4 linked regions of the Schizosaccharomyces pombe genome follow. The protein of the gene in region 1 interacts with the protein of each later gene in a biochemical or structural test. Each region holds a gene or a part of one and is shown in the gene's direction. Other genes may lie near its edges.

Region 1 (3,680 bases):
AGAGATTTCTCCTTAAAATCAAAGGTTTCAGCGAAGCCAAAGTGGATAAACTGAAGGAAGCGGCATCAAAAATGTGCCCAGCAAACTTTTCCACTGCGATGGAAATCAGTCAAAATCGTAAAAAAGTATGGAGTATTTCGACAGGATCCGAGGCACTCAATGGCATCCTTGGAGGGGGAATTCAGTCGATGAGTATTACAGAAGTATTTGGAGAGTTTCGTTGTGGTAAAACACAAATGTCGCATACATTGTGTGTCACTGCCCAGCTTCCTCGAGATATGGGCGGGGCCGAAGGAAAAGTAGCATTCATAGATACAGAAGGAACATTTCGACCTGATCGAATCAAAGCCATTGCAGAACGATTTGGTGTAGACGCCGATCAGGCTATGGAGAATATCATTGTCAGTAGAGCATACAACTCTGAGCAACAAATGGAATACATCACAAAATTAGGAACCATTTTTGCTGAAGATGGCCAATACCGTTTGTTAATTGTCGATTCCATCATGGCACTATTTCGGGTTGACTATTCGGGTCGCGGGGAATTATCAGAAAGGCAACAAAAATTAAACATTATGCTTGCTAGATTAAATCATATTTCTGAAGAGTTTAACGTAGCGGTCTTTGTCACAAATCAGGTTCAAGCAGACCCCGGAGCAGCAATGATGTTTGCGTCCAACGATCGAAAACCTGTAGGAGGCCATGTCATGGCTCACGCAAGCGCGACCCGTCTGCTGTTAAGAAAAGGTCGAGGTGAGGAACGTGTCGCAAAATTGAATGATTCTCCAGATATGCCTGAAGCCGAGTGCAGTTATGTGATTACACCTGGTGGCATAGCAGACGTTTCCTAATTGATTTTCTACCTATTCCAAAAAAAAAACAAAAAAAGAAGAGAAATAAGAAAAAAGATCAGCCAAGTTCAGCAATGCCTTTTATCATTGCGTTTGTGCTTATGTTTTAACAAAATTGAGTGCACTGATTACGTTAATGTTAACATTTTACTGCTGCAATACTATATCTTTAATACAATAATCAGTTCACTATTGGTCTCTAAAATGGCTTTAAAGAAAAAGTTTGGATGAGAAGCTCGCGCCATTTTAGATAACCAAACCAAGATTTTCTTAACTACACATTTATCAAATAGTTGCGAATGGCGCAAACCCCCAAAAGCAACTTATTCTTACGAGTCAACAAATTTGTTTAAGTAGTGTCATGTGAAGTTGCTATCGCATGTATCAATTAACAAAAGCTGAGCGCCTTTCATTGCAATCGTTGGACAATCTGACTTCCACCAAACAATTATATCGTGTGAGACAGAATTCGTCATCACCTTTGTTCCAGTTTATTTCCCGATTCTATGAAGGCCTGCAGATTTGCACGTGTTCAGGCACCTTCCTTTCGATGTTTACCTTTTGCGTCAATATGACAAAAGGGGTACAGTTTCTCTTGATCCGTTGCCAAGGATGTGTTTACCCCGGGGCTTTGTCGCAACAAACGAGAACAGTCCAGCAGCCAGGTTTTTCGATAACCTTCTGTCGTGCCGATAAATTACGATGCGCAGTCGCTAAATTCGACATACAGAAGCACAGGGCACGTTTACGCAGTGCTACGAAATTTTACTGTGGGAGCAGTCCTTTTTCTACCATACGACGTTCCGCAACCTTTCCAGTGCCAACCACCACGATATACTCACATTTTCGAACGTTTGGTAAAAATGTCTACTACTTCTCGTGAAGATGCTGTTTATTTAGCCAAACTTGCTGAGCAAGCCGAGCGCTATGAAGGTATGTGCTTTTATAAGGTTTAGAGACGCGTAGAGCAGAGATATATTTGGTGTTATTTCTGCAAGAACAAAATTACACACATCCAAGGTTCTATCGGCGGAAGCTTTTGAGTAAGCGGGCTTCCTGTAAAACATCGATTGCATTTATTTTTGACATAGTTGTGATCAGAGGCTTAGTTGGTAGAATGTTTGTGTTTGTGTGTTGTATGGTGGTTGTCAAATGAACTGTGCATTGGCTATGGTGATGTTGAAAAGGTGTTTTAGTATTTCAACTTGTTTCCTAACTTTATTTCTAATTGTTTTTACTCCGAGAAGAAATTTTTTTGTTCATACAGACATACGGAAAATACATCATGCTGCGCATCTCGAAAGTCGAAATCCTTATGTACTTATCACTAATATATCCAGGCATGGTTGAAAACATGAAAAGCGTTGCCTCCACTGATCAAGAATTGACCGTCGAAGAGCGTAACTTGCTCTCTGTTGCTTATAAGAATGTAATTGGAGCTCGCCGGGCGTCTTGGCGTATCGTTTCCTCCATCGAGCAAAAGGAGGAGAGCAAAGGCAATACTGCTCAAGTTGAATTAATTAAGGAATATCGTCAAAAGATTGAACAAGAACTTGACACTATTTGCCAAGATATCTTGACCGTTCTTGAGAAGCACCTTATCCCTAATGCTGCCTCTGCCGAATCCAAGGTTTTCTACTACAAGATGAAGGGTGACTACTATCGTTACCTTGCTGAGTTTGCCGTTGGTGAGAAGCGCCAACACTCCGCTGATCAATCTCTTGAAGGTTACAAGGCCGCTTCTGAAATTGCTACCGCCGAACTTGCACCTACTCATCCTATCCGCTTAGGTCTTGCTCTTAATTTCTCCGTTTTCTACTATGAGATCTTGAACTCCCCCGACCGTGCTTGCTACTTAGCCAAGCAAGCCTTTGATGAAGCTATCTCCGAGTTGGACAGCCTTTCCGAGGAATCCTACAAAGATTCTACTTTAATCATGCAATTGTTGCGTGACAACCTTACCTTATGGACTTCTGATGCTGAATACAGTGCCGCCGCTGCTGGTGGTAACACCGAGGGAGCTCAAGAAAACGCTCCTTCCAATGCTCCAGAAGGCGAAGCTGAGCCCAAGGCGGACGCATAGATAGCTCGTTGCTCATGATTGATGCCATACTTTCACTACTATGAACCAATTTTAAAAAATTTATTTGTCTAAGAGTTCTTTTTCGTTTAGATCTTGTGTACTACACGATGGAATAGTCTCATTACATTCTCGTATATTTTCTTCTAATTTTTTTTTCTTTTTGTCTTTCTTTAAATTTCTTTTTTTTTTACAGTCGTAGTATATGTGTGTATTTGGTAGCTGCTGTAAAAAATACAGTAGTTGGACGACATTTTAATTTCGAGTACACAACCCGTAATGATTTGCTTGGCTAAGTGGGTGTTGAGTTAATCAAGCAATAGTCTAGATAGATGTGAGTTTCAAACTGAAGAGTTGGTAGATTGAGAATGTTTAAGCCTATCGGATTGAATTTGAGCTTTTTGACTGATTTGCACCGAATTGCTTAATATTCCTTGCATACGACCGATGTACCACTTTTTACACAAAGCTTAAAAATTTGTATGTTCTAGTGATACTCAAACATTATTAAATATAAAAGCTTTAAGTTTGCATATAAAACGCACAGTAAACATTTGAATCGATGCCTGTGAGACCATGCATACATTTCACGCCTCCAGAAGGATTTATGAATGATCCCAATGGTCTGGTTTACAGTAATGGAAAATGGCATTTGTTTTTTCAATGGAATCCAACAGGAAACCAAGCCGGTAATCAACATTGGGGCCATGCAGTGAGTAAAAACCTGTATAAATGGAAATTACTACCTA
Region 2 (4,058 bases), 1.4 Mb from region 1:
TGAGCGCTTAGTTCATTTAGTTGATTTGGCCTTTTTAAGTGCTGTTTCGGTTGTCTAAATAAATACAAATGATTATATAATCTTAGGACTAGTCAGGGAGTTTAAAATAGTATCTTTAAGTAGGGAAGACAGCAACATCTATTTACAGTAAATTTTTCCAATACTCCGTTCGTGGAATAGTAGGCATTATGTCAATTTAAGGAATATTACCAAAGCTGGTATCTTAAAATTACGTATTATACAGATGGCTTAACAGACTATTATCCGCTACATAGCGTTACTGAAAAAAGTTTTATTGGGATCATCTTTTGGGCTTCCAAACTTATCCTTCTCCATTTCTTTATCATGGCAAAAGATAAAAAAGACCATAAGCATAGTGGAAGCACCGAAGATGAGTATGATTCATATCTTCCTGCTTTAATGCCAATTGCTAAGCCTTTAGCTCCTAAAAAATTGAACAAAAAAATGATGAAGACTGTCAAGAAGGCTTCGAAGCAGAAACACATCCTTCGTGGGGTCAAAGAGGTTGTAAAGGCTGTTAGAAAAGGAGAGAAGGGTCTTGTAATTCTTGCTGGTGATATTTCTCCCATGGATGTTATATCTCATATTCCAGTATTATGTGAAGACAATAATGTCCCTTACTTATATACTGTTTCCAAAGAGTTGCTTGGTGAAGCATCAAACACCAAGAGACCTACTAGCTGTGTTATGATTGTTCCCGGTGGAAAAAAGAAGGACATGTCTAAAGTTGAGGAGTACAAGGAAAGCTACGAGGAAATTATAAAAGAAGTACCTGCTCTTGAAGTTTAATTGTTCAATATCTAAAAGATGCTTAGCCATTTAATGTAGATTATTATATACTATTAAAATTTGGTATTTATCCTGGGATTTAACTTTTGGTATATCATGTCTGTTTGCTTGATAGTAAGCGAAAAGAAGTTTTGCTTAATGGTCGGTTTTAAGGTTTCAAAAAATTTCCTTTTTAATCTAGTGTTTTATCATTCTTTCTTATGCCCTAGTATTTTATGGGTTTAGACTGGTTTGCGAGCAAACTAATCACTATACCTCCAAAACTTTGTTAGCAATAATATCGTATCATTTACCAACTTATATGAGAATGGTATATCGCTGTAACAGCGATGAAATATCAACTGATTTTTCCTCAAATTTCGTTTACGCTGATCGTTTCATTACGGATTTAGCCTGTGTTTATTTCTAACTAGTTGCGCAAAAAAGTTTTATTATTCGTTTAGGTTGCTATTTAGTATTCAGAGGCGGCGTGTTAGAACCAGTTTACAACTAACTTAAATTTCACCCAACGTCGTTCTTACCATTATAATGTTTACAAATATTATGCTTTCCAGTGCTATCCATAAATGATAGATTAGGGTAGCTTTAAAGGTCCGGCAATTATATGGTTATCTATCCGGATTTTGTTATCGGATTTAAATATATTTGCTAAAACAAATCGAATTTCAGATAAAAAAGTTGGGTTGTATTTGTATGAGCAAAAAGTATTCTGTATGTTTATCATAAATTGATGTGCATTTTTACTTACTTTGTAAGATAATGATTATTGTTGTTTATTTACTATAGTGTTGCTAAAAGTTAATGTCTTTTTTTTTTTAATAAAGAGAAAAGATTAAATGTCAACATAACGTTGTGTATAGTTTAGAATCCACTTTTGTCTTCATTTGTTTCGCACCCCACATATTTTCTTGTGCATTATCATCCCTTCTATTTACAAGGACCACCAACACCCAGGTACACAATTTAGAACTCAACCATTACGGGTTTGACGAATATAGACGAGATTCGCAATTACTTGTCTGATGGATTACCAAGATGATGGGCTTGGTGAAATGATTGAGTTTTTGGAGGGTATGCATGAAGTTTAACTCAAATATCTCGTAAAATTGATTAACATGTTAAATAGACAAGTTATACTACACATCATTGTCGCAACCACCTAAAGCCGAGTTATATCCTCATATGCATTTTTTTACTATCGATGATGAATTGATCTACAACCCTTTTTATCATGACTTTGGTCCGCTGAACGTGAGTCATCTTATTAGATTTGCAGTGATAGTTCATGGTATCATGGGAAAACACAGACAAGCTAAGAAAAGCAAGGCTATAGTTTTATATTCTTCTACAGATACAAGGTTGCGTGCAAATGCCGCTTGTTTGTTAGCTTGCTACATGGTGTTAGTACAAAACTGGCCTCCACATCTCGCATTAGCCCCTTTAGCTCAGGCAGAACCTCCTTTTTTGGGGTTTAGAGATGCGGGATATGCTGTTTCAGATTACTATATCACGATTCAAGATTGTGTTTACGGACTGTGGAGAGCACGAGAGAGCAGCATACTAAATATACGTAATATCGATGTTCATGACTATGAAACTTATGAAAGAGTGGAGAATGGAGATTTTAATTGGATATCTCCTAAGTTTATAGCATTTGCAAGTCCTATTCAGGCTGGTTGGAATCATGCGAGCACACGTCCAAAGAAACTTCCTCAACCGTTTGCGATAGTTCTCGATTATTTCGTCGCTAATAAGGTCAAACTGATAGTTAGGCTTAATGGACCTCTTTACGATAAAAAGACTTTTGAAAATGTTGGAATTCGACATAAAGAGATGTATTTTGAGGATGGCACAGTTCCAGAGCTTTCTCTTGTCAAAGAGTTTATTGACCTTACCGAGGAAGTAGAAGAAGACGGTGTGATTGCTGTTCATTGCAAAGCAGGGCTCGGACGTACTGGATGCTTAATTGGCGCATATTTAATATACAAACATTGTTTTACTGCTAATGAAGTTATTGCTTACATGAGAATAATGCGTCCTGGAATGGTTGTAGGTCCACAACAGCATTGGTTACATATTAATCAAGTTCATTTCCGTGCATATTTTTACGAAAAGGCGATGGGAAGAGCAATCCAACAGGCCACCGCTGCGGAACCCTTAGCTACTCCTCCTCGCCATCCATTGAATGCTACGAATGGTACCTCTCAAAGCAATATCAGTACTCCTCTTCCAGAACCAACGCCTGGCCAACCGAGAAAAGTTTCTGGACATAATCCACCGTCGGCGAGACGTCTCCCTTCAGCGTCCTCTGTCAAATTTAATGAGAAACTTAAAAATGCTTCCAAGCAATCAATCCAAAATGAGAACAAAGCGTCATACAGTAGTTACGAAGATTCAGAAATACAAAATGATGATGAAACACGGACTGTTGGAACTCCAACTGAAACAATTTCAGTGGTTCGCTTGCGTCGCTCATCAAGTCAAAGCAATATCGAACCAAATGGAGTTCGTTCTCCGACATCCTCACCAACTGGTAGTCCAATTCGACGTACAAGTGGAAATAGGTGGTCTAGTGGGTCTAGTCATTCTAAAAAAAGTGCTCAGCGAAGTGTTAGCATGTCATCACTTAACAATACTTCTAATGGCCGTGTTGCTAAACCTAAGCCTTCTAAAAGCCGGCTAATTTCTTAATAAACCTGTAATTACTGGTTTAAATGGCAGTTTTTACATTCCTTTTTTTCATATAAACTAACTTTGAATTATACTGTGTCAACCCTGCATAATTTTTCATTAATTAACTTTACAAATATTCCCTGATTTAGCGCACCTTTGCGCGGTGGGGATCACCACCATTAATGTCTTAGCTATCCTTTTTGTTAACTAACATTCATATTTCTTTGGAAAAAACTTTGGCTTTTTGCAAGCCATGGTTAATGATTTTAATCGAGAAATTGTTTTGGTTATGATATAAAAAGTCTTTGTTTTTTATTACGAATTTCAAGATTTCGCCATTCTATTTTTGGCTGAAGAGGTTCTTTCGCGGGTGCATGGTATCTTTGTTCGTAGCGGTACATTTTATTATATTTTGCTTGAGAATTTTTATCTAAATTCCCAACGGAAATCTGCCTACTTGTTGTACCTAATTTGCTTCAATGTTTTCACCTTTGGGTCAGTTTAAGCACATAGTTTGTCCATTTCTACGAACTGGACGCAAATGTCAGTCTAGGAATTGTTTCTTTAGTCATGAC
Region 3 (5,605 bases), on another chromosome or scaffold:
CCTTCATGGGGAATTTCTTGAGCACGCGCAAGAATACGAATCTGATCCAATGTGCGAACTTCCGGAGATAATCCACCATGCACGCATAAAATTTTGTTATCGATAACCGCTGCCAAAGTCAAAAAATCAAAAACTTGGCAACAATATTTCCAAACATTTGCATTTCCATATTTGGTTTGACACTCATCATAAAACCCGTAGACTTGAGTGATCTGGCGACTTTCGTGATTACCACGAAGCAATGTAATTTTATCTGGGTACCTTGCTTTCAAAAGCATAAATAACGTAAAAGTTTCTAAGCTAAAATAACCTCGATCCACAAAATCACCCATAAATATATAATTTGTGCTTGGCAATTCTCCACCTACTCGAAACAGTTCCAAAAGGTCGTAAAACTGACCATGTATATCACCACAAACAGTAACGGGAGTCCGCACAGGCTGGATATTGGACTCCTCCATTAAAATAACTTTTACCATCTCACACAATCGTTTCAACTGGTGTTCTGGAAGATATTTACACTTCCTTACTGTAGCGATCCATTCATCCAAGTCAAACATCGTTGTAGCACAAATTATTCAAGGATCTCTTCTAGATTATTAAACACAGTTATTTCTCAATACTTTCCTATTTAGAAATTGGCTTCCTAATTAAATATGTTGTTTGCGGAGAGTACGTAAGTTAGTACGTTGAATACTTAAGAGGGGTGTTTAACGTATTGTAACGATTAACGGCGTACCAAGTCTTTATCAGATATGGATGTTTGGTACATTCAAAAGTCGTATGAAAAAGTCTACATGTGGAAATGACCTTTTATATACAAATTTATATAGTCCGCTGATTAAATTGGGATGTCGTCGAACACATTTTATCCTTATTGCTAACGTCAAATTTTGTTGCAAATTTTCTTAAATTACCGAGGTGGGATTGCTTTAAATTATAAATACTTGTAGAGTTTTAAACGATTGAAAGTCTAGGTCATGAGGCGAAGATGAGAGAGTAGCATAACGAGAAACGTTGTCTGTAGAACGACAATAAAAGTGTCGTTTCCATAACCTTTAAATATAGTAAGCGAATTTAGGATCAGTTCGAAGATTGTTGCAAGCGTAGATCCAACTTGTGAAAAACTTGCTTACTAAAGAGCTTTCAAAGTCATGAAGAATATATGATATCTTGTTGATATAAATGGCATCTCCGTCGTCAAGTATGCGAAACCGTAGGCAAAAGAAAAATCGTACAGAGAAGGTTACCGAAGCAATTGCTATTAATTGTTTTTTATCGAGTCTTCCGAGTTAACAGAATAAAGTGAATCTCTCATGCACAAGTTTATCAACTCTTAGAACTACTTATAGCTTTGATTTTTTCCTCAAATACTTATGGCCATAATTTTCCTTCTGAATAAATAAATTTACTGGAATTCAACGTAACAAACAAAATAACGCTATACCCTTATTGTGGAAAATATCGTAAAATATGATAAGCAGCATTACGAATACGCTTGAATATCCTATGTCAAATTGTGCAAAAGGGTGATTGAGTCCCAGTACCACGACATCCCGTCGCGTCTCATAGACGTAAACAAAACTTCTTTTTTCTATGGAAGGTATGTGTGCTTTTCAGAAATCATGGAACAGTTATGGCTTGAACATGATTTAAGTGAAGAATGGATTCCGCAGCCACAAGAACAAGGGTCAGACAATTCTAGTGAACCACCAACCACATCAAATGTAAACAATACTCAATCTACAGGTCGTGGTAGTTCAGGAACTTCGACAGAGCATGGAACGTTTAAGAAAGGAAGAAATGATGCTCCGGATGTTCCTCAATGGAAACAGGTGAATGCAAAGAACCCTGTTGCTCGTGATATTTTTGCAAGGTTGGATTTGGAAAATATGTTTGAAGAAAGCAGCAAACAAAGCCCCCCTTCAAAGTCTCCAACAAAAAATCCGTCCAAAAAGTCCAGTAATAACTCTTCTAGGCGTAGTTCTTCTTCAGTTGGTAAACTATCTAATGTATCGAACATGCAATCTTCTCCTTCTAAAGATCCTTTCGTTTCACAGGATTACGAAAAAGAATCTATCTCCTCTTCTCAGTTTAGCAAAAAATACTCAGAAGGAAGCTTGAAAAGTCAACAATCTAATACCAGGTCTAACTCGGTTCACGAAAAGCAAAATACGGACCATGCTAGCAATGCATCGTCATCCTCATCCGTTGTTTCTTCTCCCTCCTTGAAGCCCAATAATACATCCCCCCTTAAACTTTTCCAAGGAGCTAGTGATCCGTTTACTCGTGAGCATTTGAATCAATTAACTCAAGATGTAAAGTCCAATTCATTTGAAAATGGGGAAAAACAATTTTCACTCCCTGAACCACGAAGACCACAAAAACCTATGCGTACAACTGAACGAAAGGCTAGCCTCAATACCAAAGATCTCTATCAAGAGGTTGAAGAAGTCATGGCAAGATTGCGAGGAAGAATGCCTAATTCGGGACGAGAATCTACAATTTTTCTTCCTCGAAAGCTCAGCGGACTTCGTGAGGAGGAGGAACAAGATGAAATTTCAGTTGAAGTAAGTCAAGAAGATAGCTCTAATGCATTTCCCTCCTTAAGTGATCAACTTCATTTAAAAAGTCTTCAAAGTATGAAAAGGGTTACCTCAATTTTCAATGATAATGATGATTCCTTTCCATCCGCATCTTCCTCCCCTCAACGCCAGGCATATATGACCGATAAAATGCCACTTCGGGAAATTGATGTTGGCTCTTCACAATCCTCTTCCAAGACTGCCCGATTAAATAGCTCTCCCAAATCAACGCTAAAAACTTCCAGTGTTAAAACCAGAAGAAGTCACTCTGCTCAAAGCTCAAGAAAAGTGTCTGATTATCCCAATATGGTGGTTATAACGCCAGCAGATCTTCCTGAAGGCATAGATACAACTCAAGGCTCCATGGAATTTGACAGGATACACAATCGGTGGCGGAGAAAAGGTCATGATTCAGACTTGGGCTTTGATTTTGAAACCGACGAAGATGCTAGTCTTTCGCATCCTGAGCGTACAATACTGTTTAAAGCGGCATCCACCAGACATCAAGCGAACAATGATCCAAACAATTTGGAGAAGCAACAACCTCATTCCTTTCCTTTGCGTAAGCAAAATGTTGCTCAATCCGAATTTCCTAAGCATTCATTAAGAGACAATAGCGAAAACGCTCCGCAAATTTTATCTTCCTTTCACGATTTATCCTTACAAAATGAGAGCTTTGATGAAATGTTTAATGGCAGGTATGAAAATGGGTCACCAATTCCTTTTATTTCTTCAGGTTCTGGATTGAAAAGTAAAGCCGACAAAGATGCTGAATATAGTTTTTCAGTATCTCGTCAATCCATAATTCAAATTCTTTCTGATGTTGAACCATATGAGCCTTTCTGGAAAAGGATTATACAATTAGACATCAGTAGACGACATTTGGATTCCTTGATTGGACTTTCTGAACTCTGTCCCTCTATTGAAGAGCTCACGTTGGAAGGAAATGAAATTGCTTACTTAACAGGATGCCCCGTTACGATAAGAGACCTGAATGCTGTTGAAAATCGATTGTCAAGTTTGACTTCATTTTCCAACCTATTAAACCTACAATATCTGGACATATCATATAATCAACTAGAGGACCTTACTGGTCTTTCTTCTCTAATTCACCTTCGTGAGTTGAAAGTTGACAGTAATCATCTATGGAGTTTAGATGGGATTCAACATTTGGATGGATTGCTAAAATTAAGCGCTTGCAATAACAGGATTAAAGAATTGTCATTTACGAATTCCAATCTTCATCGTCTTGAGGAATTGCTCTTGGGAAATAACGAAATAGAAGAAATCGAAGAAATAAGTTCGCTTCAAAACCTTATGGTTTTACAATTGGACAATAACAAACTAACCAACTTGAAAGCTAGCCAACCAATGATTCATTTGCGAATTTTACGCATCAGCAACAACGCCATACATCAACTTGAGGTAGATCAATTTCCTCATTTACGAACTTTATACATGGACCTTAATCGATTTAATCGTCCCCCTGACATCCGTCGACTAAAACGCTTAGTCAATTTTTCGTTCAGGACTCAAGATCCTGAAGCCTCCAATTTTGTCATTCAACCCTCTTTAGATATTCGAAATCTATACCTATCGAATAACACCTTCGTTACTCTTGATTGTAAGCACATGTTTCTGGGAGTGAGGTATCTGGAGCTTGCAAACGTTCAGCTCAAAGAAGTACCTAAATACATTGCGACCAGTATGCCCAATTTACGTGTATTGGACTTATCACATAACTATATATCAGACATAGAGTCGCTGAAACCATTGCAAATGATCCACCGACTTTACTTAGTGGGAAATAGAATCAAAAAGATGCGAAATTTATGTGATATATTGGCAAACCTGAAACAGTTAAACGTACTGGATCTGCGCATGAATCCTCTTAATTTCAACATTTATCCCGTAATTGACGACTCTATTTATGAGCTCTCTGCAGCCTCAAAATACCAACAAAGTATCAACCAAAAAGGTCATCATAGAAAAGAAGACCCGCAAAAGCAATGGCAGGAGAAAGAGCTGGCCTTTAGTTCCACTTTGTCTGAGGCATGGAGAACAAGAAGAAAAATGTATGCTGAAGCTATTTTATTGGCATGTCCACACTTAGAATGGTTGGATGGATCTGATGTTTCACAATCATCTCGCGCTGCATTCACCAAATCATCCAACTAGTATGACTTGTGAAGATATAGCTTGAAACATTTTTACCTTTCAAATAGCAAGATTGTTTCGCTGTTGTGTAAAGGTTAATAATCACAATACATAATACACCATAATACTCGCCATTACCATAGTGTAAATAATAATTCGATTTCTGGATGGCACATACAAAATGAATAAGCATAATGAAACGTGAAGGTCGTCTAAAAATATATATATATTAAAAAAAAAGAAAAAGAACCCTATTGAAAGAATAAAAAATAAAAGAAAACCCCTCCAACTCTTCTTACATTCAACTAGCTTAAAACAGATAAATTCTATTGAGAAACAGTGACATTAAACACACACATATGTACCATATAAGTATCAACTAAATAAAGGAAAAAGGTAAAGGGGGGACGGTTAAAAAATGCTTTGAAAGTGAAATTAGAAAACATGTAGAGATGATAAATGATAGATAAAACTCGATTGGTCGATAATTTACGAGCGGCCCCATGAAAATCTGCTGGGCTTCTTGTCGTTATTGGCTTGAACATCATTAATCGACCATGGATTTGGAGCTGGAGCTGAAGCGGGATCTTTAAAGGGATTTTCAGGATCTCTAAACGGATTTTCAGGAGCCTGTTCTGCAGGCTTATTGCGCATAAACGGAAAGCGGAAGCCCGAGTTAGATTTCGGAACGGGAACGGGCTCACGAACAGTTGGGGCATAGGAAGACAGAGAACGACTATCGTTGCTAAAAGTAGGCTTCAATTTTGAGACAGAGCCTCCACGCTTGAGACCATCATCCTCGGAAATGGTATCGTACATAGGCTTTTCGGCAGAATAATCGCTGAATTTGGGAAGGTCTCCCT
Region 4 (5,580 bases), 2.9 Mb from region 1:
TTGGGTGTAACAACGTTAGACTCAATGCCATTTTGAGTGATACTACTGGTACATTGGTTGCTTCCAACTATGCCAGCCCAGGTACTGAGATTGGTGTCATCTTTGGAACTGGATGTAATGCTTGTTACATTGAAAAGTTCTCAGAAATTCCTAAGCTTCATAAGTATGACTTCCCTGAAGATATGAACATGATCATCAACTGTGAATGGTGCGATTTTGACAACCAGCATGTTGTCCTTCCTCGTACCAAATACGATGTTGCTATTGATGAAGAGTCTCCCAGACCCGGTCTTCAAACGTACGAGAAAATGATTGCTGGATGCTATTTGGGTGATATCTTGCGTCGTATTCTTCTTGACCTTTATGAACAGGGAGCTCTCTTTAACGGTCAGGACGTTACCAAGATTCGTGACCCCTTGGCCATGGATACCTCTGTGCTCAGCGCTATTGAAGTTGACCCCTTTGAGAACCTTGATGAAACTCAAACCCTATTTGAGGAAACCTATGGTCTCAAGACCACCGAAGAAGAGCGTCAATTCATTCGTCGTGCATGCGAATTGATTGGAACTCGTTCTGCCCGTCTTTCTGCGTGTGGTGTATGCGCCCTTGTTCGTAAAATGAATAAGCCATCTATGATTGTAGGTACTGATGGTAGTGTCTACAACTTATACCCTCGTTTTAAGGATCGTCTTGCTCAAGCATTTAAGGATATCCTTGGTGAGGAAATTGGCAGCAAAGTTGTTACCATCCCCGCCGAAGACGGTAGTGGCGTAGGTGCTGCATTGGTCAGTGCTCTTGAAGCCAAAGGCAAGGCCCTCACTTCTGATATTCTTGCCGAGCATCTTAAGAATTAAGTCCACTCATTGTTTTTAGGTTTTACGGATACTCATTTGATTTTGTGTCACTGAACTCCACGAAGTGTTCGACAAACTGTTTTATACTGCACTTTTTATTTGTTTCATACTCCATCTTTTTGCGTACAATTTGTTCCAGCAATTTTTATGGTTACACTTTTCTTTGTCTACTAATCACGTATCAGGGCGTTTTTACAAAAAGGTGCTCCACCTGATAAAATATTTTCTTTTTTGCTCTAGTGTTTCTGTGGATACGATATCTGCCTCTGATTGCTAGAATACTTTAAATAAAGGTTAGAGTTTTGTTATATTTTGTATGTTGAAGTGTAATAATAGCGGTATCTTTGTTGAAGATATCCGAGTTTAACAAGACAACTGGCTATACTATCTTGCGAAATATGCCTACTACGACAATAATGGTATCAACCCATAGCTACATAACATCGGGAGACTTTCAATGAGTTACACCCTCGTTTTCCAATTCGGAATGACAGTCCGAGTCCCGAAGTAGAGAGATTCATCGTGTTACGATTATTCGCTAACACCTGATAACATATTTTATCTCGCTGCTCGTGTTACATATCAGGAGTGCGGGTATGAGATTATGGGGATTTAATGGCTGTCAAGCAGGTTACCTGACGTTTGTTCTTATGTATTTGTTTACACATACACAACATTTGGCGTTGCTAGGGCAACAAATCAGACAAACTGCGGTGGATCGAATAGCTGAGATGTATGGACATGTAAACAAACATACAAGATGCAAAAATTTATGTGTTTTCATCTAGTTCAATGTTGTTAATGAAATGATTATTTGCTTTTATATAATTAATAGATTAAGAGGTGACATATTGTAGCTTGAAACGGCATTATCTACGCAACTAAACTATACAACAATAGTTGTCATGGCTGAGGTGTTGGCTAAGTATTACAGCTTACAGTTTAACTTTGCTTTAATCATGTATTTGTTTTTATTATTGTTTTCTGTTACTCGAATTTGTTGGTTGGTGTTTTATTGTTGTTGTTACCTTTGCTTTTTTTTCCTCTCGGAGGCAGAGCTGAGATTTCTCTCTACCCTCAACTATCTACAGCGCTTCAAGCTCTTCTCCTTTAGATCAAGTGTATTACATTGAAAATATTATTCTTAAGAATACCAAAGTTGTAAGTTTAAAAAGAACTTGATGCCTGTTAGTTTCGGGCATCCTTCTCTCCTCAAGTTGGATTCCTGTTGATGCTTCTCAAGTACTAACTGCTGGTTCAGTGATTTTTTGAAACGTCTATAATACAATTGCTTACGCTTTTTAAGGCAATTAATAGGATTCTTGAAGTTATTTGTTCAAGAAGCCTTTATATGGTAAAGTGGGGGGTTTATTACTTGTAACGAACTTTGAGTCTGAACTTTTGGGTATTCTGTTGTTTTCATATTAATCAACTGCTTTCTTTTAACTTTCTTTTTTCTTTCATTTTTTCTTTCAACGACAGTATCTTTTATATTCTATATTATAGTCGTGACCGTTGGTGCTCATCTATTTTTGTCTCATTAATCTCTTTTTTTTTATATACTTTTATTCGGTCTTCCCGTCGTGTGGAGTCTAAACTTACTTAAACTTCTTTCCGGTTTCTTTTGTAAAGGTTGGTTTTGTTTAATATTTGGCTATATTGCTTTCATCCTGTCTTTCTTTTAGTTTTCTTTTTGTCTCACTTTGGCATTAATATCTTAAACCGGTCTTTTGACTCTTCCCTAGGATTTTCCTTTATAATTTATCTTACTTGCTCTATTGATTTCTCATTCTGAAACTCAATCTTTTGCAGTCGTGTCGTCCCATTAGTTCTTTTTGCAGTGTACTTGGTTTAAATTAAATTTACCATTTTGTCTGCTTTTAATAATAGTTAAACCTCAACTAAAATGGATTCTCCGCTTTCTTCACTTTCCTTTACCAACACTCTATCTGGCAAACGGAATGTATTGCGTCCTGCTGCCCGTGAATTAAAGTTGATGTCGGATCGCAATGCAAATCAAGAGCTGGATTTTTTCTTCCCGAAATCCAAACACATTGCCTCAACATTAGTGGATCCTTTTGGAAAAACTTGTTCGACAGCTTCACCTGCATCTTCCTTAGCTGCTGATATGTCAATGAACATGCATATCGATGAAAGCCCTGCCTTACCGACTCCTCGTCGTACGCTCTTTCGATCTCTTTCTTGTACTGTAGAAACCCCTCTCGCTAACAAGACTATTGTTTCACCTCTCCCGGAGTCACCCTCGAATGACGCTTTAACCGAGTCCTACTTCTTCCGGCAACCTGCATCGAAGTATTCCATTACCCAAGATTCCCCACGTGTTTCCAGCACTATTGCTTACAGCTTTAAGCCTAAAGCATCAATCGCATTAAACACCACCAAAAGCGAAGCTACTCGTTCGTCATTATCGAGTTCTTCTTTTGATTCCTACCTTCGTCCTAACGTCTCACGTTCTCGATCATCAGGCAACGCACCCCCATTTTTGCGATCCAGATCGAGTTCCTCATATTCCATTAACAAAAAGAAGGGAACTTCTGGTGGACAAGCTACCCGCCATTTGACTTATGCCTTATCCCGTACCTGTAGTCAGTCGAGCAACACGACCAGCTTACTTGAAAGTTGTCTTACTGATGATACGGATGATTTCGAATTAATGTCTGATCATGAGGATACATTTACGATGGGCAAGGTTGCTGATTTACCAGAAAGCTCTGTTGAACTTGTTGAAGACGCTGCCTCTATTCAACGTCCCAACAGTGATTTTGGTGCTTGCAATGATAATTCTTTAGATGATCTTTTTCAAGCTTCACCCATTAAACCTATTGATATGTTACCCAAGATAAATAAAGATATTGCCTTTCCTAGCTTGAAAGTTAGGTCCCCTTCTCCGATGGCATTCGCTATGCAAGAAGATGCGGAATATGATGAGCAAGATACACCAGTGCTTCGTCGTACCCAAAGCATGTTTCTCAATTCCACAAGACTAGGGCTTTTCAAAAGCCAAGATCTTGTGTGCGTTACGCCAAAACAATCGACCAAAGAAAGTGAGCGCTTCATCTCTTCTCATGTCGAGGATTTATCTCTTCCTTGCTTCGCCGTGAAGGAGGACTCATTGAAACGAATTACCCAAGAAACATTGCTCGGTCTATTAGATGGTAAATTTAAGGATATTTTTGACAAATGCATCATTATTGATTGCCGTTTTGAATATGAATACCTTGGGGGCCATATTAGCACTGCTGTGAATTTAAATACGAAACAAGCTATTGTGGATGCCTTTTTAAGTAAACCTCTTACTCATCGGGTTGCACTTGTTTTTCATTGTGAACATAGTGCGCACAGAGCACCTCATTTGGCATTGCACTTTCGAAATACCGACAGACGAATGAATAGTCATCGTTATCCTTTCCTTTACTATCCCGAGGTTTATATACTTCATGGTGGTTACAAGTCGTTTTACGAAAACCACAAAAACCGTTGTGACCCAATTAACTACGTTCCGATGAACGATGCTTCGCATGTTATGACCTGCACCAAGGCTATGAATAATTTCAAACGAAACGCTACTTTTATGCGTACTAAAAGTTATACTTTTGGCCAAAGTGTGTTAGCTTCCCCAGACGTTAATGATTCTCCTACTGCCATGCATTCCCTCTCTACACTTAGAAGATTTTAATGATTTTAGGCTGACTCAATACTTTACCTAGCCTGAAGTATACTCTTATATATTCAACTTTCTAAACCTAAGTTTTTTCTATAAACTTTGAATCATGAAACCTTTTATTTCTATTTTTTATTATTATTATTGAAAGAAAGCAATATACCTTTTAAAAGGTCTCGACAACAAAAAATTTAAACTGGCTAAACTTTTCGAAGTACATCACTTTTACGACTAAATATCTAGAACGACTAGTTTGGTTATTATTATTACGCATGGATTTTGGTTTAATAATTGATTATTTTATAATCAATTGAGCTTAATAATTTCTAAGCAATCACGGGTAAACATACGTACCGAAGTCCATTCTAATTGCTCTTCTCGCAATTGCTGTTGATAGGAATGCTAAGAATTTAGCATTCTTTGATTGAAGCAGTAATGCGATAGGAACTGAGTTGCTTACGTTTTTGTAACTCTACCTAACCATCTCTGATGGAAATATTTAAGTAGAAAACGAATAAAACTTTTATTTTTAAATCACTTCCTTTTATGCATGTTCTGTAAGCGGTAGTATTGTAGCTTACCCTTTCCAATGGAAGGTTAAGTTCACCAGAGAGTTACGAAGTTTTATGTGATATAAAATAGTTACAATGCGGAAGTTGGACATTCACACTTAAGTACCTTCCCAAAAAAAAAATTACGAAAATTTTTAATCAATACTACTTTTTTGGTAAAAATTTAAACATGTTCCGTTGAGAAAGTGAATCATATGTGTGCTTTTTTAAAATTTGAAGATATTTGTAGATTTTGTTTTGTTTACTTTTTATTTGCAACAATCAGAATGTCGTCATCTAAGTCAACCTTAAATTCGCTTATATGAATTTTATTGATTATGACATCAACGCCCTATGAAGTGCAGCTTTGAACGCCAACGATTGTATTTAATACATTGTAGGATAAACCTCGTAATCATAAATAACGAATTGTTTAAGTATGAAAGTTTGCAGAGCACTTAATGTTCAAACAAACAAATCTTTTTAGGTACAC

What was found.
Region 2: the proteins of rad24 (region 1) and clp1 form a complex in vitro, tested with the Schizosaccharomyces pombe proteins (one study listed by BioGRID).
Region 3: the proteins of rad24 (region 1) and cdc11 form a complex in vitro, tested with the Schizosaccharomyces pombe proteins (one study listed by BioGRID).
Region 4: the proteins of rad24 (region 1) and cdc25 form a complex in vitro, tested with the Schizosaccharomyces pombe proteins (2 studies listed by BioGRID).

The regions. Positions count from the first base shown.
Region 1 is NC_003424.3:3,382,554-3,386,233, forward strand, and holds rad24 (14-3-3 protein Rad24), read left to right. Parts: upstream 1-1,673; 5' UTR 1,674-1,714; coding exon 1,715-1,784; exon of another isoform or gene 1,785-1,983; intron 1,984-2,191; coding exon 2,192-2,934; 3' UTR 2,935-3,132; downstream 3,133-3,680. Other genes in the region: RecA family ATPase Dmc1, read left to right, coding at 1-851; inv2 (beta-fructofuranosidase), read left to right, coding at 3,494-3,680. UniProt on the Schizosaccharomyces pombe protein: Acts in cell cycle and stress checkpoint signaling by sequestering signal transducers regulated by the checkpoints. Required for the DNA damage checkpoint that ensures that DNA damage is repaired before mitosis is attempted.
Region 2 is NC_003424.3:4,769,434-4,773,491, reverse strand, and holds clp1 (Cdc14 family protein phosphatase Clp1), read left to right. Parts: upstream 1-1,775; 5' UTR 1,776-1,832; coding exon 1,833-1,881; exon of another isoform or gene 1,882-1,936; coding exon 1,937-3,501; downstream 3,502-4,058. Other genes in the region: box H/ACA snoRNP complex subunit Nhp2, read left to right, coding at 346-810; exonuclease Rex3, read left to right, coding at 3,963-4,058. UniProt on the Schizosaccharomyces pombe protein: Protein phosphatase which antagonizes mitotic cyclin-dependent kinase cdc2, the inactivation of which is essential for exit from mitosis. To access its substrates, is released from nucleolar sequestration during mitosis.
Region 3 is NC_003421.2:2,048,573-2,054,177, reverse strand, and holds cdc11 (SIN component scaffold protein cdc11), read left to right. Parts: upstream 1-1,574; 5' UTR 1,575-1,625; coding exon 1,626-4,763; 3' UTR 4,764-5,048; downstream 5,049-5,605. Other genes in the region: serine/threonine protein phosphatase PP6 catalytic subunit Ppe1, read right to left, coding at 1-560; protein mug33, read right to left, coding at 5,232-5,605. UniProt on the Schizosaccharomyces pombe protein: Essential for the onset of septum formation. Involved in the organization of astral microtubules during mitosis. Acts as a bridge between sid4 and the other SIN proteins mediating their association with the spindle pole body (SPB).
Region 4 is NC_003424.3:478,721-484,300, reverse strand, and holds cdc25 (protein tyrosine phosphatase (M phase inducer) Cdc25), read left to right. Parts: upstream 1-1,927; 5' UTR 1,928-2,015; exon of another isoform or gene 2,016-2,115; 5' UTR 2,116-2,760; coding exon 2,761-4,551; 3' UTR 4,552-5,073; downstream 5,074-5,580. Other genes in the region: hxk1 (hexokinase 1), read left to right, coding at 1-854.